4 linked regions of the Macaca mulatta genome follow. The protein of the gene in region 2 interacts with the protein of the main gene of each other region in a biochemical or structural test. Links are inferred from orthologs where the notes say so. Each region holds a gene or a part of one and is shown on either strand. Other genes may lie near its edges. The genes, in order: SPTBN1, NF2, CD44 and NHERF1.

Region 1 (7,265 bases), on a different chromosome or scaffold from region 2:
TTAGGGCCAAAAAGAAATCGCAAGGCTTCAAAACTCTCTGCCATTCTCAGTCTCATAATTTAGAGCAATTATTTATCAGACAGAGATGGCCCGAGCAGAAAGGCTTACCTGATTTTTCTTTATTAACAGCTGCACAGTCTGGAGGTTGTGGCCATGATCCGTGGAAGTTGCCAAAGGCATCCTCTCTCCAACCCACAACTGGGAAAAATTGTAAATAAGTGGTCAGATCCACTCAGAGGAACAAATACACAACAGAAACAAGAGCGGTGAGGGGCAGTGAGGGACAGCAAGGGTGAGCTTCAGAGAGTGCTCAGCCCCCTCGGGAGGGCTGTCTGGGGAAGCATGCCGTTGTTCTCCGAGACAGGGGTAGGGAGAGTATTTCCAACTTTACCTCATCCTCAAGATCAGACTCACTGTGAGTCCTCATTACTTTTAAAAAGTCTGTTTTAGGGCCGTTAAAATCCTAGAGTATCCCTAGATAACATGAGAGGCACAATGGAGTTGCACTTAGTGTGAAAAGGGAAAGAAACTTTAGACCATCCAGAGCGTGGACTCTGACAGCTCAACTTGCCAACGTGGCCCAAGGTGAGGTTGACTGAGAAGTGAGAACATGGGCTTTAGGACAGGCAAGGGGGCTTGTGGAAAAGCCATGTGTGCAGCCGGGGTTGACTCACGATCTCGTCCTCCACATCCCTGTTGAACTGATGGATCTCTTTGGAGGCCAGCAGGTTATGCTTCCTCTCGTTCAAGGGCTCCAGCAACTCCATGAACTTGGTCTGCACGGTGAGGCGCTTGCTGTCCACCTCGTCGGTGCTCTTCCCTTCCTGACTCAGGGCCTGGGCTTGGCTTTGGAGCTCTTCGATCTCCTTCTTCCGCACTTCCATCTGATTCTCCAGCATCTGAAGGCAAAGAAGCAGCCTCAGCGCTCAGCAGAGACTACTTTTGCAGTGACTGGCTCTAAGCAGAACTGCTGGGCCAGGGACTTGGCCACACTGCAAAGCCAGCAATGGGAGCCACTGGAAGATTTTGCCACTGATTAGCTTTTTCAACATCAATGGAACTGTTTTCAAGTAAATTTGAGGTAAATTCATTTGCCCTTAAAGCCCTCTACAGTGATGTAATATAAACAGTTACTTTTATTATCTATAAAGTGCCTTGAACAACTCAGATAACTGTCACAAATCAAGATGTTAAACAACAAAGTATGTGAATATTTCTTTAATGTAAAATGCAGAATTGAGTGAGATGAGTATTTATTTAACTGTTAAATAGCGATAACACCTATTAACTAAGAAAATTATCAATCCCATACACAGACAGCCGACACCCAATACTCCTAATACTGTGTCTTTCTAGGCTGGACAGGTAGCTTTCTATTCTGGAAATGTTGTATGATGCTGTTAGAGCAAGTACTTTTCTGGGTTACAAATGCTTTCCCATGGAAGGTGGACTCCTGAGAATGCAGTGAGTGAGAAAAGACTGTAAGGACTACGGCTGTAAAACAGAAACAAACCCAAGTCCATGAAGGCTTGTCCACTTGCCTGTTGCTTTTTCAGCAGGATATTGACGCTGGTCAGGTCTTTGCCGTAGTCATCAGACTGAATCTGACTCTCCAGGCCGTGCAGCCATTTGTCTAGATCTGCGCAGCTCTGGGTGAAAAGTTCGGCCTTGTTTGCATCAAAGAGCCGCTGGGCCTTGGTCTGGGTAGTAGATTCAAGGACTTCCCACATTTCATGTAAACCAGTGAGTTTCTCCTTCACCACAGGTTCCGTCTCAGGCTTTTCTGAAATGAGCTGCATTCCTTCCTGGAAAACAAAACCAGCATGGTTGTAAATAAACAGTTTGCTACAGAAAAAATGTCACTGTGAAAAACAAACCTAGGACATTTGATCTGTGATTTACCCACTCATTCAACACACACAGTATTTCCACATGAAGTTACTGCTCAATAAAATCAACAATGGCCTAGCTTGCATACATTACATGGGTTTCATGGGAATGAAGCAATAAATGCTAAATGCTGAAACAGTTTCAACTGAGGCAATGGAAAAATGAATGCTAATAACCTGACTTCATCCCCTCTACTCCATGACCAAAGATGATATAAAACACATTATTACTATTGTTATTATTTTGAGACAGGGTCTTGTTCTGTCACCCAGGCTGAAGTACAGTGGCGTGATCTTAGCTCACTGCAACCTCTGCCTCCTGGGCTCATGCCTCAGCCTCCCCAATAGCTGGGATTACAGGCGCACACCACCAGGCCTGGCTATTTTTGTACGTTTCATAGAGATGGGGTTTCCCCATGTTGGCCAAGCTTGTCTCAAACTCCTGGCCTCAAGTAATTCACCTGCCTTGGCCTCTCAAAGTGCTGGGATTACAGGCGTGAGCCACCATGCTCCGCCAACACATTATTTTAACCATGAAGAATCTGAAACAATTTAAAAAGTCTAAAAGGAGAGAAGGGAGGGGTGGGGAACTCCACGTTCATCTTCAGTTATGCTGCACGGAATCTCTGTGCCAGAATTACAAGTTATAATAATTATTATAGTGCCTGGTATACAGTAGTCTCACAGGAAAAAGGAATTTTAAAAAATATGTATATATTTAAAATTATGTGCAATCTGTCACAGTGCAACACAAATAATATGATCAAGATAGGGGAATCCCTGCATGAGAGCTCACAGTCCATCAGCAACAGCAGATGAGAGGCACGATAGAAACTAAATGCCTAATATTCGTTCTAAGATAAATCAAGCATTTTCTACTATCTGGTTGGGTTTCTGTTTTTTTTCCCTTTTGATGGGTTGAATTCAGGAACCCGTAAGTGCAAAGAGAGCTGCTATTACTGGCTGTGTAACTTACGTAAATGTACAGATAAGACTCAGATGTTTTGGAAAATGTGCTAAATAAAAGGGAGGTTATTACTACCCTGTTTGTTTTCTCACCATGGCCACATCAAATGTTTTAACTCACCTTCTCGATTTTGTCAAGCCATTCTTTGTTGGATGCAAGTTCTGCCATAAATGCTTGATGCTTCAACCATTTACTGTGCAGATTTCTGGCTTCATCGTAAGACATGTCCTGGGCCGTGAGCATCTTCTCATTGATCCAGAGAGACAGCTAGGGAAAGATCAGAAGGATTCAGCGATTGTGATCCTAGACGTCAGCCTTTTTTCCGCCTGCAATGGGTTGTGTTTATGTCATATTATGCATACTACACACATTTCCATGGTGACAGACAGCCAAATATTTAACTTCACAACTCCGACCCGTCATGACAGGTGTCCATTAGATGGAGCTTGTACCTGAGCTCTGCTCCAAACTATATCTAACATTCATTCCAGAAGTACAAAAGCTCTATAAGCCAGCTTTCAAACTGTTTGGCACTCAAAACTGGCTTTCCCCACAAAAGGCCCGTGTTTAAAATTCTGCCCTGACCAGTCCAAGACACGACCCTTTTTCTCTTCCAAATACCTGTGTCAGCTATACCATGTTAATCATGATTGACTTTTACCCCATTTGGCAATCCTTCTAACTCTTTTAGTTCTTTTTTATTTAAAAAAACAAAACAAAAACTGCTTATTTGTAACCTCCTCCTTTTTGCGGGTGCATCGAAGGGAATGCCAAAAGGCATAAATAACTTGCTCACTGTAGGGCTAAGGCAACAATGATGCCCTTTCAATGTTTCCTTCAAGTTTGAGTCACCTTCACCTCTTTTTCTATAGCCTCAAGTTCTCTAAGAACCTTTCATTCACACCAAGAACACTTCACAGGACTTGATTTTGAGACCCAACATGTCCGCTTGGATCTGAACTCTGGAGAGCCACACAAAGGCTGCCGGCCGCTGACAGACCTGAGAAAGGAGCTGTCTTACTGGGGTCAGCCAAACGCCAGGCCCAGACCCACTTTTCCTGGCTTCCATCCGGAATCGGCCCTGGCTCATTACTGCCTGCCTGTAAACGCCATGCCAGAGTTCTGATTCCCACCCCATTTGCTGTGCTAACCTAGGAAAAGCTTTTTTTTTTGCCCAGGCTGAAGATACACAAAAGAATGCAGAGCCAGCCTGGAATTAGAAGCAACCAACTGAAGGGACCATATCTCTTCTCCTGAGTGACCGTGAGAAGCCCACTTTTATACCAGTTATTGTCACAGCAAATTGGCACCTTAAATCCTTCATGGATCTATCAACAAAGATCTAGAAGTGGCACATAAAACCAGTAGAAGTACTTACAGAATTAACATTTCCAAGGCCCTTCCACTCCCGCTGTGGGCTGCTGCCAGGAAAGGCCCCCCCAGAGATTTGTTTTTTGGAAATGATGTCAAGGATAGTGATGTGGGTCACAGGAGCCCCCGACTCTGAAAGTGGGTGAACTCTTGGGTACTGTCCTTACCTTTCTCGGGCTACTCACCACGCAGGGAATGGCACAGGGGCCAGAGGGTGGGAGGGGGTTAAAAGCAAAAGGTAGTGAGATTTTTGATGTCACTCTTGGTTGAGGGAAAAACTAGCAAATCTCATAAAGCCCTTTGTCATCAAAGACAATGGATGTATTACACAATAAAGGCACTGCACTTCCTACTTTGAAATAATTATCTATGTTCCAGTTTTCTGGGCAGCTAAATCTGAAAGACTATGGCCATTCAATCTTAGGGGAAAAGAGGTTAAAGGGAAACTGAATGACAAAATGTTTCCCTGTGTTCTGTACATACACACAAAATAGAAGGCGTTTATCGATTCCAAGTGCCAAGGACATTCACATATTTTCACTATTCATAACCACCTATTGAAGAGGGATTAAAAAGAGAGAGAGGGAGCGCTACATAAAAATCAGAGGCTTATAAACAAATCTGCTCTTTGCTGAACACATCATCCTACAGATAAAGCATCATGCGATACAGCACAATGAAATGGATCTATGGAACTTGCTAGTTCATCAGCATTCTGGAGCCAGAGCTACAGTTATTATTTGTGGGCATTTACAAAGGTCATTTAAGAATTTACTCATTCTCTGCAGAAAAGAACACTGTGCAGATTGGAAAAAGATAAGGAAAAAATACTTTGATCATTGAATTAAGCTAACAGCAAAGGATTAACTCACATCCCTGTACCAGACACATGTAGACATACTGCCTGCCTTCCTGGAAAAATAAAAATCAGTTCCAGAAAATAGGTGGTATAGCGTGAGGAAATACAACAAAAAAAGGAACACCTTTAAAATCATTCATTCATTTTTCAGGACATCACATTAAAATAACACTACAGGCCAGGTGCGGTGGCTCACGCCTGTAATCCCAGCACTTCAGGAGGCCAAGGAGGGTGGATCACTTGAGGCCAGGAGTTCAAGACCAGCCTGGCCAAGAGGGTGAACCCTCATCTCTACTAAAAATACAAAAACTAGCTGGGTGTGGTGGCACGTGCCTGGAATCCCAGCTATTCGGAAGGCTGAGGTAGGAGACTCGCTTGAACCCGGGAGGTGGGGGCTGTAGTGAGCCGAGATCCCACCACTGCACTCCCGCCTGAGCAACAGAGAGAGACCCTGTCTCAAAACAAAACAAAAACACTACAAAGATGATGATGGTCTCTATCTTCCCACTGTAACTGGGAATAGGAGGGTCCCTGCTCATTCCAGCATACTGTATATGCCAGCATACTGTATTGCTGGTATAACAGTTGTCCTCATCTAGGCGATGTTTATGCGGGTGGCAACAGGGGTGGATCTTACAACCCACACCTTCTCTAGCCAAGGCACCCAACAAGGAAGGAAGCCGAAAAAAGAGACAAACCCCTGGATTCCCCATATCTTGAACAATACCAACATCCTGTAATAATAATAAATTTGACCTCTGAGTGCTCTGTAAATATCTACCAGAATGACAGGTAGATTATCAAATGTAGGGCTGGTCCACACACAAACACCATTCTCAAAAGATTCTGGCTTAAAAGGGGTATATTTTAATAAGGCTGAATGATGGGAAAATTTATAGCCAATGACTGTATCACCCTTTTGATTATAGTACTATACCAAGAGTTTTAGAGCCCCCAAGCTTGACCTAAATTCCACCAACCATGCAGAGACTATACATGCTGGTGTGGGATACACGACACCTCCCACACGCACTATGGCTGTACTAACTTCTAATGTGGCTCAAGGACAGACAGGCAGAACAAGGGAAGACAGGATAAACCAAGATGAGTTGGCAGAGCAATCACATGGAGATATGCAAATCATCTCCTGGACATAAAAAGCCCCACCTAAATTTTCCTGTGTCCTTTGAGGAGAAGTCACAGAAGACAGAGCCCCTGGGCATGCCTCACAATCACTGGAACTCAGCCAAGGTGTGTGTGGAGGAAAGAACTCCTCATAACCAGGGATGCTAATTTAGAGCAAGTGGAAACAAAGATCTAAAGACCTATTAAGACTGACCATTTCCTGTGATTCCATCGGGAAGAACTAAAACTTTATGTATTTATTTTCCCATATATGTCTACTTGTGAAATCTACATATGTCAGTGGAAAATAAGAGACTGGAAATTTCCAATACAAATGAGTTTCTCTCAAGGGTTCCCTGGCCACTCATGTGCTCGCACCCCGGCCTTCTTTTTCTCAGATTTAACCTTAGCTTTACCATGGTTAGGTAAATGAATTTCATCTTATTAACTTGCCCTTTAAAAGCAGGAGTGTGGGATCCCATTGACCTCCCCATCTCCAGGAATACGGGCTGAGGTTACAGGGAGTCACTGATGGTTCCTCAACGTGGAACAGGGACTACCAATCTGTGGAAGGCACAGTCCAAGCTGCAAACACCTCTTCATCCCTTTTACTCCCTATGGTGAAAAATGGCAACTGGTATTACTACAGCACACTAGGCCAACTCCATATAGCTAGCTTTAGATCCCATTACTCTCTTCTATGCCCTGTCTTGGAACACGAATGCCTCTGTAAGTGAGTATCCTATTCAAATGGGTTACTAATGCTTGCGTGTCACTTAGACGAGGCACTCCTGTCTTCAGCCTGTCTGGCTCCAGGCAAATCCCCCAGAGACCTAGATTCATCAATGTGGTGCTTAAAGCTGACAGACCCTAAGCTTCATAGTTTAGGGGCTTTCCTTCTTAAGGTTTTGCTGCAAGAGCATATTGCAAGATTCACAGTAAGACAGCAGTTTAACGGACGCAAAGGATTGCTTCTGTTATACGTGATCTAACGCAGCTGTCATTGGAGCCGTATTTCTTTTAATGCACAGTCACATGTTTGCATGCAGGGTGT
Region 2 (7,265 bases):
GAGGAGCTGAAGGGGGCACCAGCAGCTTTCTCTGCTTTGTTTTTGGGTGAGAGTGAGCTGGGCAAAGGAAGAGCCCAGAGGATCAAAGTTCTTATATTGGATCACAAAGGGCAGAATATACAAGAACTGCATCTTCACAACCTCTGGATAAAACACTGGTGGGCCTTGTGCCCACTTTCTCCAGCAGGAAGATGAGCCCCGTCACTGAGGGCACCCGCACCCTGGTGCAGATCGTCACCCTATGGGGCTCAGGGTGGACACGGCATGTGAGGCCTGGCCCGACCTGCATCATGCACAGCGAGTGTGACCCGCATACAGCAAGGGGCCTGAAGCAGGGCAGGCAAAAGGGAACCATATTCCCAGAACGACATGCAAAGAGTGGTGAGGAAAACTGTAGTGACTGCACCTTGGTAGCTAAAAGCCAAATTCAAGTGCTCTAAATCAACAGAGCCAAAAGCTGTGGGGAATGTGTCAGTGTTTATCTGAAGGCTACAGGCCTATAATAGTCTTTCAAAAGTACAGACAACAGTTTCATCCTTCAACCTGGCCATGAGTGGGACGTCCCAGTCACAGAGACCATCCTAGCCCCCCTTCCCCATGTGCCAAGGAAGGCTGGGGAATGGAGGCACTAGTTCTCCTTTAAAGGTAAGCAGCTGCTGTTCTCCTGCAGACCCACCGAATGAAAGCAGAAAAGAACCACGTTTTGTTTTTGCTTTTTTTATGCACAAAGAGCCTCCTCACATCTCTTTAGCTGAAAGCGGTCTGTGGATATGCTCAGGGGTTTTCCTGCACACACGGCCATCAGAGAGACAGGGGCTTATCAAAGAGACACAACAGAGGGGCCCACCTAGCAGGAGAACTGAGTTCCTGTGCCCAACCAGTAGCGCCAACCCCAAAATGGATGAAGCACCAGTCACCATCAGCCAAGGAGGAGCCTCCCCCCGCCCAGAAGATGGGGAAGCAGCTTGAGGACAGCTGCTGTAGAGCTCAGCCTCAGGGAAGGCTGGTCTGCGGCCCTTCGCCAGCCTCCTCACCAGTCTGGTGCCCAGTGCCCCCTCACCTCCTCTCTGACTCCTCAGCCATCTTCAGTGCCAGCACCTCGGCTTCCAGCACCTTCTGCTCCATCAGGCGCTTCTCCTCCTCCGTGCGAATGGCTGTGGCCTTGATGCGTTGCATTTCCTGCTCAGCCTCTGCGGCCTTCTGGGCCAGAAGTTTTGCCTCCTCCTCAGTGATCTGGGCCTTTTCAGCCAAAAGGTCGGCTGTCTCCTCAGACCGCATCTGGAGGGCACGGTGCTCTTAGCTGAAGCTGGATCATGTGTTATTCTCCCGCCCAGATCTGCCTTGAACACTGAGATGCGACAAACCAGAGTCTCGGACTCCTGGGGTCCTGCTGCTGAGTGCCCTCCATGACTCTCTGACAAGAGATGACAAGCCCCTTTCCCCAGCTTTTCAGAAGGGTCCTTTGGGCTGCACCCATGGGGAGTAACAAGAGCACCTTCTCTGAGTACCCACTTCAGCCCAGGCTTCTGCTGCATGTGGAGAAAAACAACTTAAACTCTGCTCTTTCCCTTTAAATCAGTGGTTCAAACCAGAGGAGCTTTTTGCCCCCTGCAAGAGACATGTGGCAGGCCGGGCACGGTGGCTCACGCCTATAATCCCAGTACTTTGGGAGGCCAAAGCGGACGGATCACCTGAGGTCAGGAGTTCAAGACCAGTCTGGCTAACATGGTGAAAACCCATTTCTACTAAAAATACAAAAAATGAGCCGGGTGTGGTGGCAGGCGCCTGTAATCCCAGCTACTCAAGAGGCTGAGGCAGGAGAATCACTTGAACCCAGGAGGTGGAGGTTGCAGTGAGCCGAGATCATGCCATTGCACTCCAGTTTGGGCAACAACAGCGAAACTCCATCTCAGAAGAAAAAAAAAGTATGGCTGGGCGCGGTGGCTCACACCTATAATCATAGCACTTTGGGAGGTTGAGGCAGGCAGATCACGAGGTCAGGAATTCAAAACCAGCCTGACCAACATGGTGAAACTTTGTCTCTACTAAAAATACAAAAATTAGCTGGGCATGGTGGCATGTGACTGTAATCCCAGCTGCTCGGGAGACTGAGGCAGGAGAATCACTTGAACCTGGGAGGCGAAGATTGCAGTAAGCCAAGATCGTGCCACTGTGCACTCCAGCCTGTGCAACAGAGCAAGACTCCGTCTCTCAAAAAAAAAGAGACATACGGCAATGTCTGAAGATGTTTTGGATTGTTACAAATGGAGGGTGAGGTGCTGCTACTGGGATCTAGTGCCTACAGCAAAGGATGGTCAGCCCCAAATGTCAGTAGTGCATAGGCTGAGAAGCCCTGCTGTAAAGGCAACCTCGTGGTGAAAGTGGAATTTGGCTGCACATAAGCTCAAACTAAATCTGCTTCTGCCAACACAGGTGGAAAGAAAAGGCACTGATCTTTTTTAAAGCTGAAATTAAGTCTTTCAAAGCAAACGCTGCTAACTCATGGTCTTCAGGAGGCCGAGCTCCAGAAAAGCCAAGGAAGCCCCCAGGTAGCCTCCTGGAACCCCGGCCCCTCAGAAATCACCAGTGCTTCGTTGGCCATAGTTGCTTCTTCTTTCATCTGCAGCAGCCTCCTCTCCAACTCATCCCTCGTGCGTTCAGCCTCCTCCCTCATCTGCTTCTCTCGAGCGAGGCGCTGCCGCTCCATCTGCGGGGGGTGAAGAAAAAGTCACTGAATCACAGGGCTCGAGACCTAGGGTGCCCAAAGATGCCCCATCTCCAGAGTCTCCCCTTTTGGGACCTTTTTCCTTCCCTTTCCTTTAGGTAACCAGGGTCATTCTTATTGCTCCCCACCCCATTCTTCTAAACCAGTTGCAGAGTTGAAAGCTGAGCCACTTGAAAAAAATTCTAGTAGTGAATGAACAAACGAACAACCAACAAAAAACCAAACCGAGTCTCGACCTGGATAGAAAGAGGCATTCTTTTTTTTTTTTTTTTTTTTTTTTTTAGACAGTCTTCCTCTGTCGCCCAGGTTGGAGTGCAGTGGCATGACCTCGGCTCACTGCAACCTCTGCCTCCCAGGTTCAATCAATTCTCCTGCCTCAGCCTCTCCAGTAGCTGGGACTGTAGGCGCCTGCAACCATGCCCGGCTAATTTTTGTATTTTTTAGTAGAGACAAGGTTTCACCATATTGGCCAGGCTGGTCTTGAACTCCTGACCTTGTGATCCACCCGCCTTGGCCTCCCAAAGTGCTGGATTTACAGGCATGAGCCACCGTGCCCAGCAGACGGAGGCATTCTTATACATGGTGCACTGAAATGGCTACCTTGCCAATGCTGCTTTTTGTTGGGAAACCTCAGGTGGCTCTGCCCCGTGGCTGATGGGACACAATGCAGGACCTCCTCCCTCAGATAGAGCCCCAGAAATAAGCAGCTTTCTCATCTGGGCAGGCAAGTCATCTCACCATTTCTAATCCACATGGACCCCTCTCACATCTCTGATTTCATCAACAATAGCTCCACTCTTGCCTCTGACCCACAGAGAAGATGGAATCATTCTACGTGATGCATCAATAGTTCACACATTGTATTTCACAGGGGGGAGCTGCAACAGCCACAGCACAGACTTGCACAGCCTCATGCAGAGACAACTCCTGAGCCAGGCCTATGACAGGAGGGAGCCAGGCAGGGAACACAGCCCCCTGTCCTTAAGGCAACAGTACAAAGCCACCACTACCTCCCTTGCCTTCTGGATCACTGCATTAATTGGACCACATGCTGAGCTTAATAAGGGGAACAAGTACAAGACAGTGCCATTCCTCTGTGATCCTGGGGTACTAACTGAGTTCAGAAAGCAGAATCCAGAAGTGTCCACTGCATTATTTTCTGCCTTAAATAATTTAAAGCACATTTAATTACTTCTTGCTTCAATCTTATCCCACACTCTGGTCATACAAGGTTTCTAAGACTGCTGCTTTTTCTAAATCCTAAGTAAAAAAAAAAAATATATATATATATATATACACACACACATATTATACACACATCTACATACATTGGAGCTTGAAAAGATAATGCAAAGACAAGCAATAAAACGGTGAAAGTTGTTCTCCAATTTTCTTGCAAGTCAGTGAAAAGCTTGGCCAATTTGTTCTCTAATTTCCATCATATTACAATTTCCATAAGGTGGCTTACTACATATCTATAATTCTTTTTTTTTTTATGCTTTAAGTTCTAGGGTACATGTGCACAATGTGCAGGTTTGTTACATATGTATACATGTGTCATGTTGGTGTGCTGCACCCATTAACTCGTCATTTACATTAGGTATATCTCCTAATGCTATCCCTCCCCACTTCCCCCTATAATTCTTAAAGAAAGAGAGAAGAGAAGAGAAGAGAAGAGAAGAGAAGAGAAGAGAAGACAAGACAAGACAAGACAAGACAAGACAAGACAAGACAAGACAAGAGAGCCCAGTTAGGCCAGGCAGGCACAGCAGCTCATGCCTGTCTTCCTAGCACTTTGGGGGGCCAAAGCGGGAGGAATGCTTGAGCCCAGGAGTTTGAGATCAGCCTGGGTAACATAGAAAGAGCTGATCTCTACAAAACAATTAAAATTAACTAGGTGTGGTAGCATGCACTTGTAGTCCCAGCTACTTGAGGGGCTGAGGCAGAAGGATTGCTCAAGCCCAGGAGCTCGAGGTTACAGTGAGCTATGATGGCACTACTGCACTCCAGTCTTCGTGACAGAACAAGACCCAGTCTCTTATTTAAAAAAAAAAAAAAAAAAAAAAGGTCAGGTAATCTCCTTCAGTTCTTGGCACTGTACTTTCCTGGAGACCTCTACCCCAATATAAAGGACCTCCTATTCACAAAATCAGTTTGCTGCTTACAAAGACTGTAAGGTGTAATATACATCCCTTCATCCGAGATGGAGAAGGTACATCATTAGTTTCACCTGATGGATGAGAAAACTGAGGTCTGGAAGGTAAGTCATTGACTTAGTCACATTCTAAATTTCAGATCTGGCTCCAAGGTCAGTGTCTGACCTTGATCTGTGGTTGCCCAGATGCCAGGTTTGTGGTTCTGCTGTGCTGTAGGCAGTGCCGATCGCAGTGTTCCTGCTATTCTCTGCCGGGGCCCACAGGCTACATATTCCTTGACACTTTCAGATTTCTTACTTCTAAGCTTTGCTCTGCTAAGAAAAAGGTCAAAGAGAGCTCTCCTCCTTCTTCTTATTTATTTTGGTATTTTGTTTTGCTTCTGTTTTGAAACAGGGTCTTGCTTGGTCACCCAGGCTGGAATGTAGTGGTGCAATCATAGCTCACTGCAGCCTCAAATTCCTAGGCAAGTGATCCTCCTGCGTTGGCCTCCCAAAGTGCTGGAGTTATAGGGATGAGCCACTGCCAAGAGCTCTTCATGAAACTGCCACTATGACCCCATGCTGGCTCAGTAGGATTTCTTTGTCCAACAAATCCATCCCATCACCCCCAAAGCATCCCAAACAACACATCTGTGGCCTGCCACCTCAGAAAGCAAAGAGATGAAGAGCTGGAAGCACACTGGGCATTTCACTCTAAATCCTAGGGCTGGGAGCCAGCCTCTCCATTGTATCAAAATCAGAAAGGTGCACACAGACTAATTATTACACCTCTGAGCTTCCAAGTCCTGAGGGCAGCCAACTGCAACCGCTGCTACTCTATCTAGTAGTTCATCCAAAAACACAACTGATATTCTCAGCAGTAAGGCCCAAATTAGTTGTGTGGATTTCCATGAGTAGAGAAGGTTTATGAGTAGAAAACAATGATGCAGATCATCCAGTCTGCTGATAGGTGCTCCTGCCACCTCCTGGGGCAGGTGACATGCCATGCGGTCTCACCTGCAGTGGGGAATTGCGGCCAGAGTCCAATTAGCATTCCAGCAGCAAGCACTGAAATGCCACCCTGCATTCTATCACCATCTAATTAGAAAAGGAGAAGGCTGCACAAGGAGGCAGACAGGCAAAAAAAGCAAGCAAGCTAGCTAGCTGGACAGACAGATGCATGCACTCTTGGCTATTTTGTCCCAAACCGGTGTTAATCACACTTAATTTCTCCAAGTGTAGAAATTACTAGAGATATTTCTTTTAGATATGCTATTAGGGTTTATTCCTCATTTCCAGAGCTGACATCCCACCAGGTAGGCATCAGCAAATGAAGATCCAACAGGGATAAAACAAGAGCAGGTATGTCCATGGCCAAAAGACTCCTGCGAGCCCACAACCACTCCTCACCTCCCAGGCCAGGACTGATCACACAGTGACATCATCAGTTAAAACAAAGTCATGCTCACCTGCTTTCTAGCCTTCTCCTCCCTGGCCTGGGCTTTCATCTGCTGAACTTCCAAAGAATCGGCTTTCCTCCTCCTCATAAATAGATCATGGTTCCCGATACATAGCTGGAGAATCTGTGGCCACAGAAGCAGACAAAAAGGTTAATATCCACAAATTTACTTCACTGCCTGCCGGCTCACTAGTGCTATAGCAGTTTGAGCTCTTGCAGGTAGCAGTAAACGTGAAGATGAACGCATGGAGTGAAACACTAACGCCCTGCTAGCGGCCTCTAGTGCTCTCAGCTGTGGAAACATGCAAAATGAAGGTGCCTCAGATATGCCAGGAGGTAAAAATCACAAATGAAGAGAGCACTGGAGGACACTTCACCATGTCTTCTGGGTGCACCTTACTCTCCTACATCAAGATGTGGTTCTGCAGACCAGGGAGGATAGGAAAGCTCATTCAGTAAGCTGGGCTAAGGCAACAGGGTGCATGTGGAAAAAAATAAGTTGGATCCCTCCCTCACACCTTACACAAAAATCAACTCCAGAAGGATTGAAGACTTAAATGCAAAGATTAAGCCCTTGAAACTTTCAGAAGACAATATAGAAGAATATCTTAATGATCACAGGATAAGAGAAGATGCCAAGTAAGACGCAAAAAGTGATTAAGAAAAAAATTTATATATTTGTCTACATTAAAATTAAACATTTTTATTGTCAAGACATAAAAAAAGAAAAACAGAGCCACCAACTGGAAGATATAGCCAATAAAGAAAACAGCTTAGGTGCAGTAGCTCACACCTGTAATCCCAGCACTTTCGGAGGCCAAGGTGGGAGGATCCTTGAGCCCAGGAGTTCAAGACCAGCCTGGGTGACATAGTGAGATGCCATCTCTACAAAAACATCAAAAAATTTGGCCAGACATGGTGGCCCAGCACTTTGGGAAGTGTAATCC
Region 3 (7,265 bases), on a different chromosome or scaffold from region 2:
GTCACAGAATCCATTGCTCTGCCAGGAATTCATTCAGAACTTGCCATGCCCCAGAAGTACATGACGTATTATCTTCTATATTGCAAATAGAAATATGGGAATATTTCTCACTGATACCAAGTGAGAATATGGAATTCACATTCTTGATAAGGCAGGACACATTTCAATACTTATGTCACACAGACAAAATATCCTGCATGGGAGCTTGCAGAGCCAAGTCATCTGGTATCACTTAGAGATGATGATAAGACTTGATTCCAATTTCCACAATCTCACAGTTCAAGAATAGAGAAGATGGCTTGTTTATACTCAAGGACAAATTACCAAACAGGCATGGCCAAAAGGCCAAATGACATCAGACAGGTGTCATTTTTCACATAATGTCTGGCTCTATTTCTTCAAACACTGGAGTTCTAGCAAAATGCTTTCTCACAAGTCAGACTTTGCAGAATCACATTGTAAAGTCTGGACCCATATTCTAGAGTAGATTCCTTTGTACGACAAAAGGGGATATTTTATCAGGGCCTCCGCTACAATCTCACTAGATAATGCCCAGAACTCGGTGTGAAAGAGACATGTTCAAGGGCATGTTCTCTGTGTTTCCTGTTCTTATTCGTAACTGGCTTGTATCCATTCCTGTTCAGGTGACTTGTTATGAGCCTTTAAGGTTTGGCTCTGTGTTAACTGCAGCATAATTTATTAAGTAACCTAACATCTTGTGACAATTCCTCCAATGTCCTTTTGTTCAGTGTCCTCAATGTCTACCATTTAACCCAAAAGGAAGTTGCCATCCAAATTTACTTGTTAAACCACCCATTACCAGCTGTCCCTGTTGTCGAATGGGAGTCTTCTCTGGGTGTTTGGAGATACCCCTCATGCCATCTGTTGCCAAACCACTGTTCCTTCTGGGTAGCTGTTTCTTCAGTTGTACTACTAGGAATTGCCTGGACTGTGAGAAGAATATCAGTTGGGAGACATAATTTTCTATTTTCCTTGCCAATAGCTGTCAACGTATCTTTCTACTTTAAGGGCAGATACACATGGGAACAGAAGGTAGAAAAGAAAAGCAGCAAGGAAACAGGCCACTGATATTCTGAAAGGGATATTAGAAATAAAATGATCCAAACATTTAATTTTTCAGATGGGAACATTGTGGTCCAAAGAGGTTTTGATTTGTTCAAAACCATAGGACTAAGCAGACCATAGCTGATGAATTCTCAGAGTTCTATGAGTTATCATTATTTTTATTTTACTGTAGTGTATGGCGTCACATACCCTGTCTTAGAAAACCATTCAAAGAATAACCTCTTCGCTCCAGTCATTCTGATGAAAGGAAAATACTGTATAACAACTGACAAGATCAGCGCATTAGGAGACCGTCTCAAATGGTGGTCATGTAACCCATAATTGCACACACTGGAAATGCACCAGCAGTGGATTTGCCCAGCAGGAAAGGTGTTGGGATGGCTTGAATGCTATTTCACTAACACATTATGTGGCAATGTTCATATGGCGCCTAAAATTGCTAAAATCACTTTTTAACAAAATTAATTCAGTTGACAAAAACTATCCAAGCCAGTTTGAGGCATTATATAAATAATAGTGTGTGACAGGCTTAAAATTTCAACCATTATTTTAAAAAGGACAAAATCAACAGAATAAAATTCCATCAAGGTGCCTTCAGGAAAAGTCAGAAAGCCACCAACATTTTTAACTATAGCAACTTAAAGCAATTTTGTTTTATCAAGAAAATGAGAGCCTATTAACTTGCCAAGCCAGAGTATTTTTTTTGTAACTTGTAAAATGGTTGTATTTCATTATCTTAGAAAATGATATGTGTGATTTGGTGACGGCAATGACATTTAAAAAATAGAACAGTCCTCATTTTACCCTTACATTGGCCAAGCCATTATTGGGTTAACTGGCTATCCAGGGGGAGGGGAAAAAAGCCAGAATCTTAAGTTTTACCTACCACTGACTAAATCACTAATTCCCAACCAATAATGAAGTTAGAAAAACCACTGAATGTAATTACATAAAAAGGAATATTGACCCAAACATAGACTGCCATGTTACTCAAAGTTTAAATAAAAGAAATAAGGAAGTGTATGTGTGTGACTGCATAGAAGGACTCTATACTCCTTCTATCACTACTTTAATGAGTTTTTAAAGTACCCATAACTCTTTATTGTTTTCAGCCTAAATAGGAATGAGTTCACAAAACATATGATTTCTATTGTAAAAGATGAAGGTTGACTTTCTTCTAGAAGTTGTGATGTTAATTTGATAAAGACCAGAGGTCACCAATCAGATCCCTTTGAGTTTCGCAAATATTCATAAGAGAATTGTTACAGTTTTCACTGTCTTCTCTTTGTCAAGTTACATTCTGTCTGAATTTTCACCTACCCTCTAGTCCTAATGCACCCCAAGCACCACCTTTTGACAATAGGCTCATTATTTCCAAGTCTCTAAAGTAGCTTTCTGGTCTTTAAGTGCAAACTGTCTAAAACAATTTCTAAGATATACAGTTAGGGCTCTAAGGGACTGGAACAAAATCCTATTCCAAAGAGATTTATGCTTCCTCTGTATTTTCTTTTCCTAGACTTCTTTGTTAACTTAGTCCGTAAGCCTTATGCATACATCAGATCTACTGGGGTTTGTAATGGAATGTAAGGTCTGCTGGATATATTTAGTACAACGTCTAACCTCTATCCTAGCTGGTACCTGAAACTTTTCTTTTGTTGTCTGAAGACACACCTCAAGCTATAGATTCCCAAAGCCCTTTGGTTTTTAAGTGGCTATAGCTCACATTTCCGCATTAGGTGTATTTAGGGCTGTGAGAATGACAGTCAAATCATCATTTTAAAAATGCTAAAAAGCTGTTTTCCAAAATAAATACTCTTATTCCAAATAAGATAGACATATCTCAGTGGGACAGATAAAAGAAGAAAAGCACTTACTTCTTATGTTTGGGGAGTGAGGGGGTCCCCTATTCTCACAGTCCAGTGCTGCAACTTGAGATTGTTTTAGAAAAACTGACAAGTTTTCATAATAGTAGAAATAACAGTAAGAGCATCAAAGCCTTCCCCAAGTTACCTTGGGCTTAAAAACAGAAAAAGAAGCAGTGATAGAATTCAAATGCAGACCATACGAGCTACCAACTTTGTTCTAAAGAGTACAAGGGACTATAGAACAGTCAAGGACAGAATGCAAAAAAGAAACTATATTCATCAAAGATCTTCATAGAAAATAAGGATTCCAAAGATCAATTCACTTGACAAGCTTTCTTTCCAGATTTCACTACTAAGCACCAAAAGAACACACTTTGCCACACATTTCCATAAACACACACAAGTTACCCAAATGGAACCTCTAGGAACTTTTAACACAAAAATTGTATCTAGATCTACTTCTTAAAACATTTTGGTCTTTGGGCAACCTGAAGTGTTATCATTTTCCTTCCAATTTTTAAAATTTGTGTGCAAGTTTGGCAGATTTTCAGGCTCTGAGAATAAAATAAATTACTAAGTGGAAATAGAAGATGTGGCCAATTTCTAAACAAAATCTTCCCTATTGCTGGAATGTCTTCACTAACTCATCTAACCCAGAACTGCCGACCGCCATCTTGCTTACTTGTGCTTGTAGAATGTGGGGTCTCTTCTTCCTCATGATGCTCATGGTGAATGAGGGGAGGATGTGCTTCCGGGTGCCAGTTTCCTTCATGAGCAGTGGTGCCATTTCTGTCTACATCTGCTGTGATGATGGTTAAATACACTGTGACTTGTTATCAATCAAGCTTTAATGATTCTGTTCTTCCATTAAAGTGCATGCTATTTAACAATTCTATGCCAAAGTATTATCTCTGAGCATCCACTCTCAAAAATTTTGAGTGACTTTACCTAATTGGTCTCAAGAGAAAATCAATGGGCTTGGAATTTCTTCATGTTCCCTTATTATTCCACTATGATCAGTTTGTCAAAGGCAGCACCATAAATCCTTCAAACATATTCATTTTTATAATGAAGCAACATAAAAATATACCCACATGGTATAATTGATAAATGACTCCTAAATGGAATTAAGTATCCTCATGAAAGTCCACTAAGAATTTCTTGATGAGATACTAGCTAAATTTCCCACTGTGTCCCGATGATTGACCTTTGCAGCATCATAGGCTTTGAGGGGAAAAAAAACCTTTCATTAAATATGCATAACCCATTACCAGTTATCCTTGCGGTTGTCTGAAGTAGCACTTCCGGATTTGAATGGCTTGGGTTCCACTGGGTCCAGTCCTTGTTCTGTTTTGTGTGGTCAAAAACCCGTGGTGTGGTTGAAACTGTGATAACGATGATTGAAGCAATTAGAAAAATGTTATTTCTTGAGCCTTCGCCACTTGTCTCGCATATAGTCTTGTTTCTGTAGACTATGCAATGAATCATCTATACCAGGTTGTATAGATGGCGGCATGGAAATGGAGGGAAAGCGGAGGATGCCTTCAGCTTAATTCAGCCATATTGGTAAGCATCTCAGTGTCCTTTGCATTCTGTCATAGAATACCTTAGGGTTCAGAACATGAGATCTTCCAGATAAAACAGTCAAAGAAGCTGCAGCAGTAGGAAGGACAGCTTTGAAAACACCAGCCCTTCACCGAGGATAACCAAAGGCACCATTTTGCCCATCCATGCAGTCTGTAGTATCCCTCTGCACTTGAAAGCCCAGGGACTTAGTCACTGTGTGCTATTTGTAGATCCTCAGGGTGAAGAGGCAGATAACTGAAAGTTATACCATGATAATCACTTTATGTTGTTAGTAATTTCAGTGGGGAAAGAAATGTCTGAGCAGCCAGAGCTTTCCTATAGATGATTCCGAAAAATATTACCTACCTAGAATAGCCATATGTTTTAGCTGTCCATTTCTGAATATTTATCAAACACTATGGTATTCTCATCAAATACAAAATATGTCACGAGCAAGCCATTCATAGCCAATGAAAGAAAATAAGACACCACAGGTAACCAGCCACCATCACAGAAGCACAATGGAAAGAAAGAGGCATACATCCACCAGCACCCTGATATCGTCACCCAATCTGTTAGGGCTGGAATGGGAGATGCACCTAACAGAAAGATCATGACAAAATCTGAATCAATGTGTTTTGTGGAAAGGTTATTTGCAAATCCATCCTAATTGTTTCAAATTTTATTTTGAAACCCAAATAACACAAAACTGTTTTCAGAACTATAATACTGTCAGCTCTATTTTACAAGTTATGAAAATCGAGTTTAGAATCATTAACCACATTCTCAACAAGCATGAAAAGGTGCTTATTATCAAGCAGTTATCGCACCCCTCCAGAAGAAAGAGGGCATCATGTTGAATTATGTCCATAGGTGCTAAGCAGAAAAGTAAACTGAAATTGGAAAATATGCCATAGAGATTTTAAAAATTAAAAACAACAACAACAACAACAACAACAAAAAAACACCATGGGAAGTTTTTCCCTGAAGCCTGACCATACAATTCATTTGCAGGTAGATATCTTTGGGTTACTCCCCAAGGGAATTTAATTTCTTCAATATCAAGACCACGTCTTTACTAATGGACCTACCTGCAAAGCTGGGCCACATCCTGAACACAGGAGACAGTGTAATGTAAAACTCCAGTGTTTTTGATTATTTGGTTTTTGTTCTGAAGTTACCAAAAATAATTTTCTTATTCCATAGATTAAGCTCTGGAGGGGTGCTGGGTCTAAAAAAATCACTTAAAAGTTTAGATAGAAAATTCTAGTTCCTTTTGAGTATTTGTTATATCAATGTTATATATTCAGATGCCTTCAAGGCCTAAGCTATTTTTTTTTTTCTGGACCCTTTCTTCTCTGTGTGCTATCCGTTTGAGGATTAAATTGTCAGGTTTTAATGGAATGGATAGAACTTCAGTGAATTGGGGGAGCTCACATAGCACCCCAAAAGCCTTTTTTCTAAGGAAAAGCAAAACTGTGATGGAGTCAGGTTCAGGATTCTCAGCTCTATTCAGCAAAATCTTAAGTCATTACAGGTATGTGTGGAAAACTCAGTAATCTGGCAGACTATTAGACCAACCTTTGCATGTTTTTAACTTTTTAAGGACATCTTTAAAGCTCAATTTCCATCTCTTTGTTCTCAAAAAGTTTTATAATTGTCAAAAATTTGGATACTATTATGTACCAATAGTGGTTTCATTATTTGCTTTTAATAAGTGGTAATGTCTTGTTAAAGCTAACCTGACATTTGCCCTTCCCTTCAAGGTCTTTGGTGTCCAGCTCATTTGTTAAAACTCTGGATTTGTTCCTTTGACCTTAGTCGGGTTTTGATTAAGATAATTCTTGAGTTCCAGCTCCCATCATTTAAGCCTTAAGGGCCTTCAATTTAGGATCTTCTACAACTTTTTTTTTTTTTTTTTTTTTGAGATGGAGTCTCGCTCTGTTGCCCAGGCTAGAGTGCTGGAATGCAGTGGCGCTATCTCCTTCCTGATTCACGCCATTCTCCTGCCTCAGCCTCCCAAGTAGCTGGGACTACAGGCGCCTGCCACTACGCCGGGCTAATTTTTTGTATTTCTTAGTAGAGACGGGGTTTCACTGTGTTAGCCAGGATGGTCTCGATTTCCTGACCTCATGATCTGCCCGCCTCGGCCTCCCAGAGTTTTGGTATTACAGGCGTGAGCCACCGCGCCTGGCCTACAAATTTTAATTAATACCCTCCTAATCACATTCTTCAAGTCTATTGCTCCAACAGACCATGAGATTCTGAAAGGCAAAGGCTCTGGCTTTTTTCATCTTTGTGTTTCCAGCACCTAGCACAGTAAGTACACAATGAATATTTTTTGGACTGTTTTAATGTCATCCTCTGACAAAGCCTGATCATTCAAAGACAATCTGTAGCAGTAGACTTCATTGATAAATAAAACAGGAAGAACCTGAGACATTAGAAATTTTATGAGATATTTTCCCCACTTCTCAAAACATTCTATTTCTTCTTCCATAATCTCATCAAGATATAACTAAGGTATGATCACAGGTTCACCTATTTTTCACATTAACTACTTCTCAAGAGAGATACAATTAGGTATCACTCAGATTAATCAATAAGCCTTGCATAAATGGCTGTACTGTAATTGATTATTCTTACTGGTGCTGGAGATAAAATCTTCATCATCATCAATGCCTGATCCAGAAAAACTGAGGTGTCTGTCTCTTTCATCTTCATTTTCTTCATTTGGCTCCCAGCCTG
Region 4 (7,933 bases), on a different chromosome or scaffold from region 2:
GACATACGGAGTTCCTTGAGAAGGAAGCCCCCATTCACCCCCGCCCCTCTTTTTTTTTTTTGGTAGAGATGAGGTCTCACTGTGCTGCCCAGGCTGGTCTCAAACTCCTGGGCTCAAGCAATCCTCCTGCCTCAGCCTCCCGAAGTGCTGCGATTACAGGCACAAGTCACTGCATCCAGCCAAGAAGCCCCCCTCTATCTCCAAGAGAATCATCTCCAGAATTACTGAGTTAACAGGAGCCTGAAGGTAAGAACCAGGGCTACACTGTTTTGCCAGCAAAGATCCAAACACACAATCACATACCCTGTCCATCTGAAATCCAAACACCCAGCAGCTCGAACTCTGTTCTGCCCCTACCAGAGCTCCAACTTGGTTGGTGTAAAATGGCCTGCCCACCCTGGCAAAGAGGTTGATGGTCCTCCAGCTAACTGTGCCCCACCACCCATCTTGCTCCCTGGGGTGCCTGCACTCTCTGCCTCTGGGATCAGGGTCAGGGCTGGCCGGAAACACCCCAAGCTGGGCACTTTCATTTACACACCTGTCATGTCACCAAATCTTCCCAATAACCCTGCGGGCAGTGCCCTTCACAGAGGTGGAGGCTGAGGGTTGCAGGGAAAAATGAACTCCCAGGATCCCAGAGCCAGCACACAGCAGAGCTGGGATTCAACATTGATCTGGCTGACCCCAAAGCCTGGACTTTTGGCTTTCTAGTTTTCAAATGGAAGCTGCTAGCAGGCAAGAAAGAGGAGTTGGTAGGTTCTATCTGGAATTCCAATCTCTGGGTGGGGCGGGATGAGCTAAATGAGGACAAAGGTCCCTGACTGTTGTTATATATTCATTCATTAATTCAAAAACTGTTTTTGAGAGCCTCCCTGCCGTGTGCCAAGGACTGGCTGGGGATAGAAACACAAATAGGCCACAGTTGATGCCCTTGGGCTTACCATGTAGTGGAGAAAAAGGTCACAAACAGATGATTAAAATATTGTGTGTTCAGAGCGATAAAAGATGTGAGGACAAAGAGGAGGTGGAGGCCGAGGCGGGCAGATCGCCTGAGCCCAGAAGTTCAAGACCAGCCTGGGCAATATGGCGAAACCCCAGCTCTACAAAGAATTTTAAAATTAGCTGGGCGTAGTGGTGCATGCCTGTAGTCCCAGCTACTAGGGAGAATGAGGTGGGAGGATCGCTTGAGCCCTGGAGGTCGAGGCTGCAGTGAGGCGAGGTTGTGACACCACTCCAGCCTGGGTGGAATCTGTCTCAAAAAAAAAAAAAAATGAAGGAAAGGAAATGCTAACTCTGCCTACTGGATTAAGGACAGGCTCCCTGGAAAGGGACAGAACGGTCAGGGTATGAAGGCTCAGAGGCTAGAGACGAATTCGGACCCTGGGTGTGGTTTTGGGGATAGGGAGGTAGTGGTGAGAACAGGATGACAGATGGAGAAGGGCCATGGAACAGCATATCACTCTTTAAAAAAAAAAAAAACAAAAATTTAATAGAGACAGGATCTTGTCATGTTGCCCAGGCTGGTCTCGAACTCCTGGGCTCAGGCGATCCTATCCTCCCACTTTGGCCTCCCAAAGTGCTGGGATTACAGGTGTGAGCCACCACACCTGGCCACAACATATCATTCTTAACCCACAGTGACCATTGATCGGGCACTGACTGGGTGCCAGGCTTGGCCACAGTGGCACTTGCCCAACTAGGCAGAGGCTGACCCAGTGCTAGCTGCCCCATGATAGATGTGCAATGATCACTGTGAAATATGTATTCATTCCAATACCAACTGCAAAGGCTGGATGAGCCTGGACTCAGTGCCAGGCACTGAGCTACCTGCTTTACACACAGCCTCGTGCAATTCCGAGGTAGCTGCCATCACCCCCAACAACTTACACAAGAGGAAATGGAGGCTTACAGAGGTGAAGTAACTTGGCTCCGCACAGCCTGGCTAGTACAGCTGAGCTGGCTCAGCTCTGCGCAGCCGGCACTCTGAACCCAGACTCAAGGGTTTAGGCCTCATCCTGTGACTGGTGGTGAATCGGGGGAGGAGGGTTTTAAGCAGGGGAGCAGCAGGGCGGGTGCTGCTGCCCCTCTGTCCCCATGGGGGATGAGGGGAAGGCCATCCACAAAGCAAAGCCGGTGGGCAGAGCTGGAGAGCCACTTCTACCTCCTTAGGCCTAGACATCCCAGCGGGGACGGCCAGTGTTACAGGCACCCATCAGCCTCTGCCATGAGTGGTTCTGGACACGGCTGGTCTTCCCAGCCAGAGGCCACCCAGTTAACCACTCTCTGTGCCACACTTTTCCACTGAGATCCTCACTTAGTAAGTGGAGGGCTAATGAAGATAAGGAAACAGCCCCACTTTGCACACAAATTCAGACTAAAGCGAACTGGCAAACCTCCATTTGATGCTTTAGTAGTAAAGGGGTGTGTTTTAGAAAAAAGAACTCTTACAATGTCTGTTAACATTTTTTTGCAATAACCGCCCGGGCCATCTGTATGCTCAACACACGGGGTTGCGGGGATTTTCTGCTAGAGGGACTCAATGGTGTTGACTAGGAGTCAGTTTAAGGATCTGGGGTTCAAACGCCGGGCATGAAGGAGTGCGGTTCAGCATTTAAAACTTTAATAAGAGGCTCAGGTACTTCATGTCATTTCTACAATTCTAGAGAAGGCAGGCATCACATCGCCCAATGCCTCCATCTCACAGATGGGAGAACCAAAGCTCAGAAGTCCTCGAACTTGGCTGGTGATGGTGTCCCCAGGATTTGCTAGTGGCTCTTCTCTCATCTCTTGGCCTAACAAAGTACACACAAATGTAGGTGTCCCTCCAAAACATGCAGGAATCTGATTCTGTGCTTACCCAGGAAGCTCAAAGCTGCTGCCTTTGGGCACATGTGCTATGCCAGGCCTCCACATTAGCCTCCCAGGCCCTCTGGCACCCAGCAGCATAACCAAAAGGGCAAAGGGAGGAGCTGAATGAGACTGTAACTTGTGGGGGGTGGGGGTGGGTGAGTATTTGTGTGGGTTCCAAAGTCCAAAAAAAAAAAAAAAGAATGTCAAATCGATCGATGGACTCAGCATAAAGTTCACACTGGATTTCTGCCTGGGACTGGAGATCATCAGCCCCAACTCCCTGGTGTCAACCCCCTTGCTACGGGTGCTCAGGTCCCTTCCCCCTCCCCTTGCCAATGCCAGGTTGGCAGGGGCAGGAAGTGGGAGCCTGGTGGCCCTGGCATTCCCAGCACCCACCTCTGGCTGGACAGGGCTTCTGGTGACCTCACTTCCACCAAACCAGTTGATCCTCTAGGGCTTTGCCTTCTCCCTTAATGCCAAACTGTACCCTTTCTCTGTCCAGAAGGATCCTCCTGGTCCCCATGGACACTCCCATCAGACACTGCCACCAGGGCGAGCTGGTGCAAACTGAAGGGGCCCTGGGAGGCTCACGCCCTGCCCTACACAGTACACCACTCCACTCTCTGGGGACAGGAGGCTCAGCACAACTCCTGTTTTGCCAGCTGCCCCTCCTGCAGCTGATCCAAACTGGGATCCTATGGGCAAACACCAAACATGGGCAAAAAGCAACCGGCCTGCTGGCTGTGTGGGCACCAGAGTGACCGTGGCAAGGCCAGGGCAAGACCACCGGCTCACCGTGAGCTCCGCTGGCGCACACAGGGCCGTGAGCCTCAGGAGCTCTCTCCCCTCCCCCTAGCCATCTTTCTCTTCTTCTAAGGTCTTCCCCCTCCCCTCCCAGATACAGCTCTAGGCGCTTACTCCTCACATTCCTGAGAATCGTAAATCCTCTGAGGTGGCAGAACCACCACTCCGAGATGCCTTGGCTCCTCCTCCCCGCCAGGCAACCCCCACACCGCCCTGAGATGGTGGGGCTTCCTCTCCCTTAGAAGTCCCGGGAGGATGAAGTCCTGCAGGACTGAAGTTCAGGACACACACCGGCGGGCTGCGGGGAGGGCCTCCTTGCGCCGGGGCTCCACACAGGAGTAATGCTATTTCTCTAGCTTTTGACGTAGGAGTGGCGGGGGAAGCTGGCACCTCTGGGGAGGAGAGCCCTTCCTCCCTGGCCCATCTGCGGACTGGGGTGAACGAGGAGAGGGCGCCAGGGGACGGGCAGGATTGGGGGATTCCGAGGAAGGGGAGCAGACACCCGCAGACCCGAGGGAAGGGGGGCTGGGTTCCCCTGCGCCGCCCTCCCAAAGGCCAGGGAACAAGAGGTGCAGGCGGCAAAGGCTCTCAGGCTCCCAGCACAGCCTGGGAAGGAGAGGAGGTCGCGGGACGCAGCCCCAGGCCTGCCTAGGATGTGCCAGAGCGCCTGGTAGGCGGGCGGAAGCGGTCTCCCCCTCGCAGCTCGAGTTTCAGAAAAACGACGGCCGGCGCGGGGCTGGACGGCCGGGGCACCTGGGTCTCTCTAGATCCCCCTCCCACTCCATTCTAGCCTGCGCGGCCGGGGCCGAGCTTACCTGCTCCGGGTGGCTCTTGTCGGCCTCGCGAGGCTCATTTTCATTGCCAGCCCCCTGCGCCTCGGCGGCGGCCGCCGGCTCGGCCTGCCCCGGCGTTTCCTGGGCGCGCAGCAGCTCCTCTCGGACCTGGACGCCAAGCTTCTGCAGCTGCTCGTCCGTCTCGGGGTCGACCACCAGCAGGCGCACGGCGTTGAGTGCTGCGCGGATGCGGCTCACCACCTGCTGGTGGGTCTCCTTCTCCACATTTTCGCCGTTCACCTCCACCAGCCGGTCCCCCGCCAGCAGCCCCGCCTTCTCGGCCGGCGAGCCGGGCTCCACCAGCCGGATGTACTGGCCCAACTTGCCCTTCTCCCCGTGCAGGTGGAAGCCGTAGCCGTTCGGACCCTTCTCCAGGCAGCAGAGCCGGGGCAGGGGCGCCCCAGCCGCCGCGTCCGCGCTCATCTCGCCCTGCGACGGGTCAGCGGCGCGACTTGGGGTTCCGTTGGGGATGGGACGGGACGGCCCAGCCCTTCTTCCTGTCCGGCAAACCGGGAGCGCAGCGGGGAAGCCCTGAGCCGCCGGACGGGCGAAGCGAGCAGGTGTCCCAGGAACCGCCGGCCGCCGCGGGCCGCGAGGAGCCGAAAGAACTGCACGGACCAATCCCCGCCCCGCGCGGCGTCTGAGCGTCCCAGAGCCCGCCCCAGCTCCTTACCCCGGGGGCGGGGCCGCACTGAGGGTGGGGACCTCCGCGGGCCAATAGGGGGCTGCGGGCCGGGGCGCTCCGTCCGGGTGAACGGCGCCGGCCAATGGGAGCGCGCGGGGCGGGGCCTGTGCTCGGCACTGCGCCCCGCAGCGGGCGAAGACAGTGCGCTCAGGAAGTGGAAGTGTTTGTTACCGAGCGGCCGGCGCTGGGGTGGCAGGGGCGTGGCCCGCCGAGTTCCCGGTTCTGGGCGGTGGGGCCCGCTGGCTCAGGCCTGGTTTCCCCTACCTGTGGCGGGGAGTGAGGAGAGCTGGCCCTCGGATAAAGGGCTCTAACTTTTTTTTTGTTTTTGAGACGGAGTCTCGCTCTGTCGCCCAGGCTAGAGTACGGTGGCGCGATCTCGGATCATTGCAACCTCCGCCTCCTGGGTTCAAGCGATTCTCCTGCCTCAGCCTCCCGAGTAGCTGGGATTACAGGCGCGCACCACCACGCCGGGCTAATTTTTGTATTTTTAGTAGAGACGGAATTTCGCCATGTTGGCCAGGATGGTTTCAAACTTCTGACTTCAGATGATCCGCCCTGGGATTACAGGCGTGAGCCACCGCACCTGGCCAACGTTTTAACAGCCTTTAGCCAAAGCCTGGGTGCAGCTCCAATTGAGAGGGAGAGGCTGTTGCCGTGGCAACCACTCCCGCGCTCGGGGCAGTGAGGGCCTAGCGGTCTCAAGAATTAAGACGGAGGGCCTCCTGGGAACCTACAGAGTTGTTTGAATAACATTTTTCCGTTTGTGGGAACCCTAACCCTAATCCACTTTGTGCTGTCCCAGGACTTGCATAGAGGAGTGCAGGTTCTGATCCCTGCTGGGAAGATGAGGGCTCAGCGAAGGAGAGCCTGGGACCCCGAGGGGCAGCCCACTGAAGACAGGCCATCTAGGCCAATGGCGTGGGCTTTGGCGCAGCGTTTGACTAGGGAGGTGGGGTGGGGAGAGGCAGGACAGACTCAGGTAATCAACCTCTGGGTACGCTCCACAGGGAAAGGCCTTGGTTTTTTTTTTTTCAACAGAGAAAAATGATTAGGACCGTAAAGCCTTCTAGCTCACTCTTGCCAAAGAGAGGGTGGTCACAGAGGCGGGGAGACAATCTCTTAGGAGGGTAGCTGGCCATCTGAGGACAGACACTGAGGAAGGAGGATGGAATGATTTTGGCAGTGAATGACAATTCCTTCAACAGGACCCCCCTGCCACGCTTACTTCAAACAGTGGACAGGATGTGCTTTCCAAAATACTGCAGTTTAATTCTGAAAAACTCAAATGCAAGAGGCCCAGAGCTGTCTACGGGATTGGAGCTCCTGCAACCTGCCTTGGGCCCCAGAAGAGACTGGCAATGTCAGCCTCCTCCCTGCTCTGCCTGGGAGAGGCCACGGAGAGCTTCCTCATCGGGCCCAAACTGGAGCCGCTGACTGCTCAGAGCAAGATTTCTGCCTTGAAAGCAAATGCTGTAGGCTCAGAAATGTGCAGTGCATACTTCTTCCTCCCCCCCATCCCCACCCAGGCCTGCAGAGCTGCAGTAAAGGTGCCTGCAGGTCATGACCTCATGTCTCCTGTCCAGTTCCAATGGCAGGGGTCAGAGCTTTGGGAGACATGTGACCAAAGAGGCCACATGAACTTGCTACCCCTCTCTCTACCCCCGACATACCCACATGACCTTGTTTTACTCACATTGCATTGGTTTAATTCAGAGATGGGTGACCTCCCACCCCCTAACCTGACAGAGTAGGTGGGGAGGTAAAGCAGTTTAGGCCCTGGTATCTATTTGAGAAGTTAAAGGAAAGGGCATGGGTGGTCAGGGAGGAGGCAGAGCTTGGGGTCAAAGGGATACACGTGGGGGGAGGTTTGCTTAATCTTGTCTCCCACCAGCTCCAGGAGCCAGGGATTTCTTTTTCACAACACATTCCAAACCTAGGAAAGGGATTTCTCCTTATCTGGCTCTTAACCCGGGAGAGCTAAACACTTCAGCTGCTTGAAGAAATTGCCTGTGGAGCTGCATGCCTGCCAAAGGATTGGGATAAGACACATCTCGGCTGGGCGTGGTGCCTCCTGCCTGTAATCCCAGTACTTTGGGAGGCCGAGGCCGGCAGGTCGCTTGAGCTCAGGAGTTTAAGACCAGCCTGGGTAACATGGCGAAACCCTGTGTCTACAAAAAATACAAAAATTAGCCAGGTGTGGTGGTGCACACCTGTAGTCCCAGCTACTTGGGGGGGCTGAGGTGGGAGGATCGCTTGAGCCCCAGGGGATGGAGGTTGCAGTAAGCGGAGATTGCACCACTGCACCCCAGCCTGGGCAACAGAGCGAGACTCCATCTCAAAAAAATAAAAAACAAAACTATTTTCCTGGTTCTGACCTGAGGTTTTTAGGTGCACAGGCAGGAAGGTAGCTAAGCCAGGGATTCCATGGGGAGGGTCTCCCCCAGGATCTGAGGTCCAGAGAACAGGAGCCGGGAACCAATATTTCCAGGTGCCCCAGTGTGCTTGTGTGCTGGAGAAAAGGGGCATGCCTCCAAGGGGGTGTTAGTAAGGCCAGAGGTAGCCAGCCCGACCCTACTCTCTGCCCTGTGTCCTCCACCTCCCATCTCCTTATCTCTTATCTTCCCTGAGGCTTTGGTCTCCCTCACAGCACAAGGGCCCACTTATTTGGGGGATGGGGTGAAGATAAGCTCCTGGAGAGCAGAAGACAGTGAAGGCTGGGGTCAGCTCAGCCTCTCTCCAGCTGAACTGAGGGTGCGATGGA

Evidence for each region.
Region 1: the proteins of NF2 (region 2) and SPTBN1 form a complex in vitro, tested with the Homo sapiens proteins (2 studies listed by BioGRID and IntAct). The link is inferred for Macaca mulatta from reciprocal best matches to the Homo sapiens genes NF2 and SPTBN1.
Region 3: the proteins of NF2 (region 2) and CD44 form a complex in vitro, tested with the Homo sapiens proteins (2 studies listed by BioGRID, with this or other methods). The link is inferred for Macaca mulatta from reciprocal best matches to the Homo sapiens genes NF2 and CD44.
Region 4: the proteins of NF2 (region 2) and NHERF1 form a complex in vitro, tested with the Homo sapiens proteins (2 studies listed by BioGRID). The link is inferred for Macaca mulatta from reciprocal best matches to the Homo sapiens genes NF2 and NHERF1.

Annotation. Positions count from the first base shown.
Region 1 is NC_133418.1:70,001,600-70,008,864, forward strand, and holds part of SPTBN1 (spectrin beta chain, non-erythrocytic 1), read right to left. Parts: intron 3,124-7,265; coding exon 2,977-3,123; intron 1,806-2,976; coding exon 1,542-1,805; intron 900-1,541; coding exon 675-899; intron 199-674; coding exon 109-198; intron 1-108. UniProt on the Homo sapiens protein: Fodrin, which seems to be involved in secretion, interacts with calmodulin in a calcium-dependent manner and is thus candidate for the calcium-dependent movement of the cytoskeleton at the membrane.
Region 2 is NC_133415.1:21,879,248-21,886,512, forward strand, and holds part of NF2 (merlin), read right to left. Parts: intron 6,443-7,265; coding exon 6,329-6,442; intron 2,708-6,328; coding exon 2,585-2,707; exon of another isoform or gene 1,967-2,584; intron 1,932-1,966; exon of another isoform or gene 1,279-1,931; coding exon 1,061-1,278; intron 1-1,060. UniProt on the Homo sapiens protein: Probable regulator of the Hippo/SWH (Sav/Wts/Hpo) signaling pathway, a signaling pathway that plays a pivotal role in tumor suppression by restricting proliferation and promoting apoptosis.
Region 3 is NC_133419.1:30,083,735-30,090,999, forward strand, and holds part of CD44 (CD44 antigen), read right to left. Parts: coding exon 7,164-7,265; intron 4,337-7,163; coding exon 4,223-4,336; intron 3,754-4,222; coding exon 3,634-3,753; intron 950-3,633; coding exon 821-949; intron 1-820. UniProt on the Homo sapiens protein: Cell-surface receptor that plays a role in cell-cell interactions, cell adhesion and migration, helping them to sense and respond to changes in the tissue microenvironment.
Region 4 is NC_133421.1:84,419,863-84,427,795, reverse strand, and holds the start of NHERF1 (Na(+)/H(+) exchange regulatory cofactor NHE-RF1), read right to left. Parts: upstream 5,082-7,933; 5' UTR 4,911-5,081; coding exon 4,470-4,910; exon of another isoform or gene 3,902-4,469; intron 1-3,901. UniProt on the Homo sapiens protein: Scaffold protein that connects plasma membrane proteins with members of the ezrin/moesin/radixin family and thereby helps to link them to the actin cytoskeleton and to regulate their surface expression. Necessary for recycling of internalized ADRB2.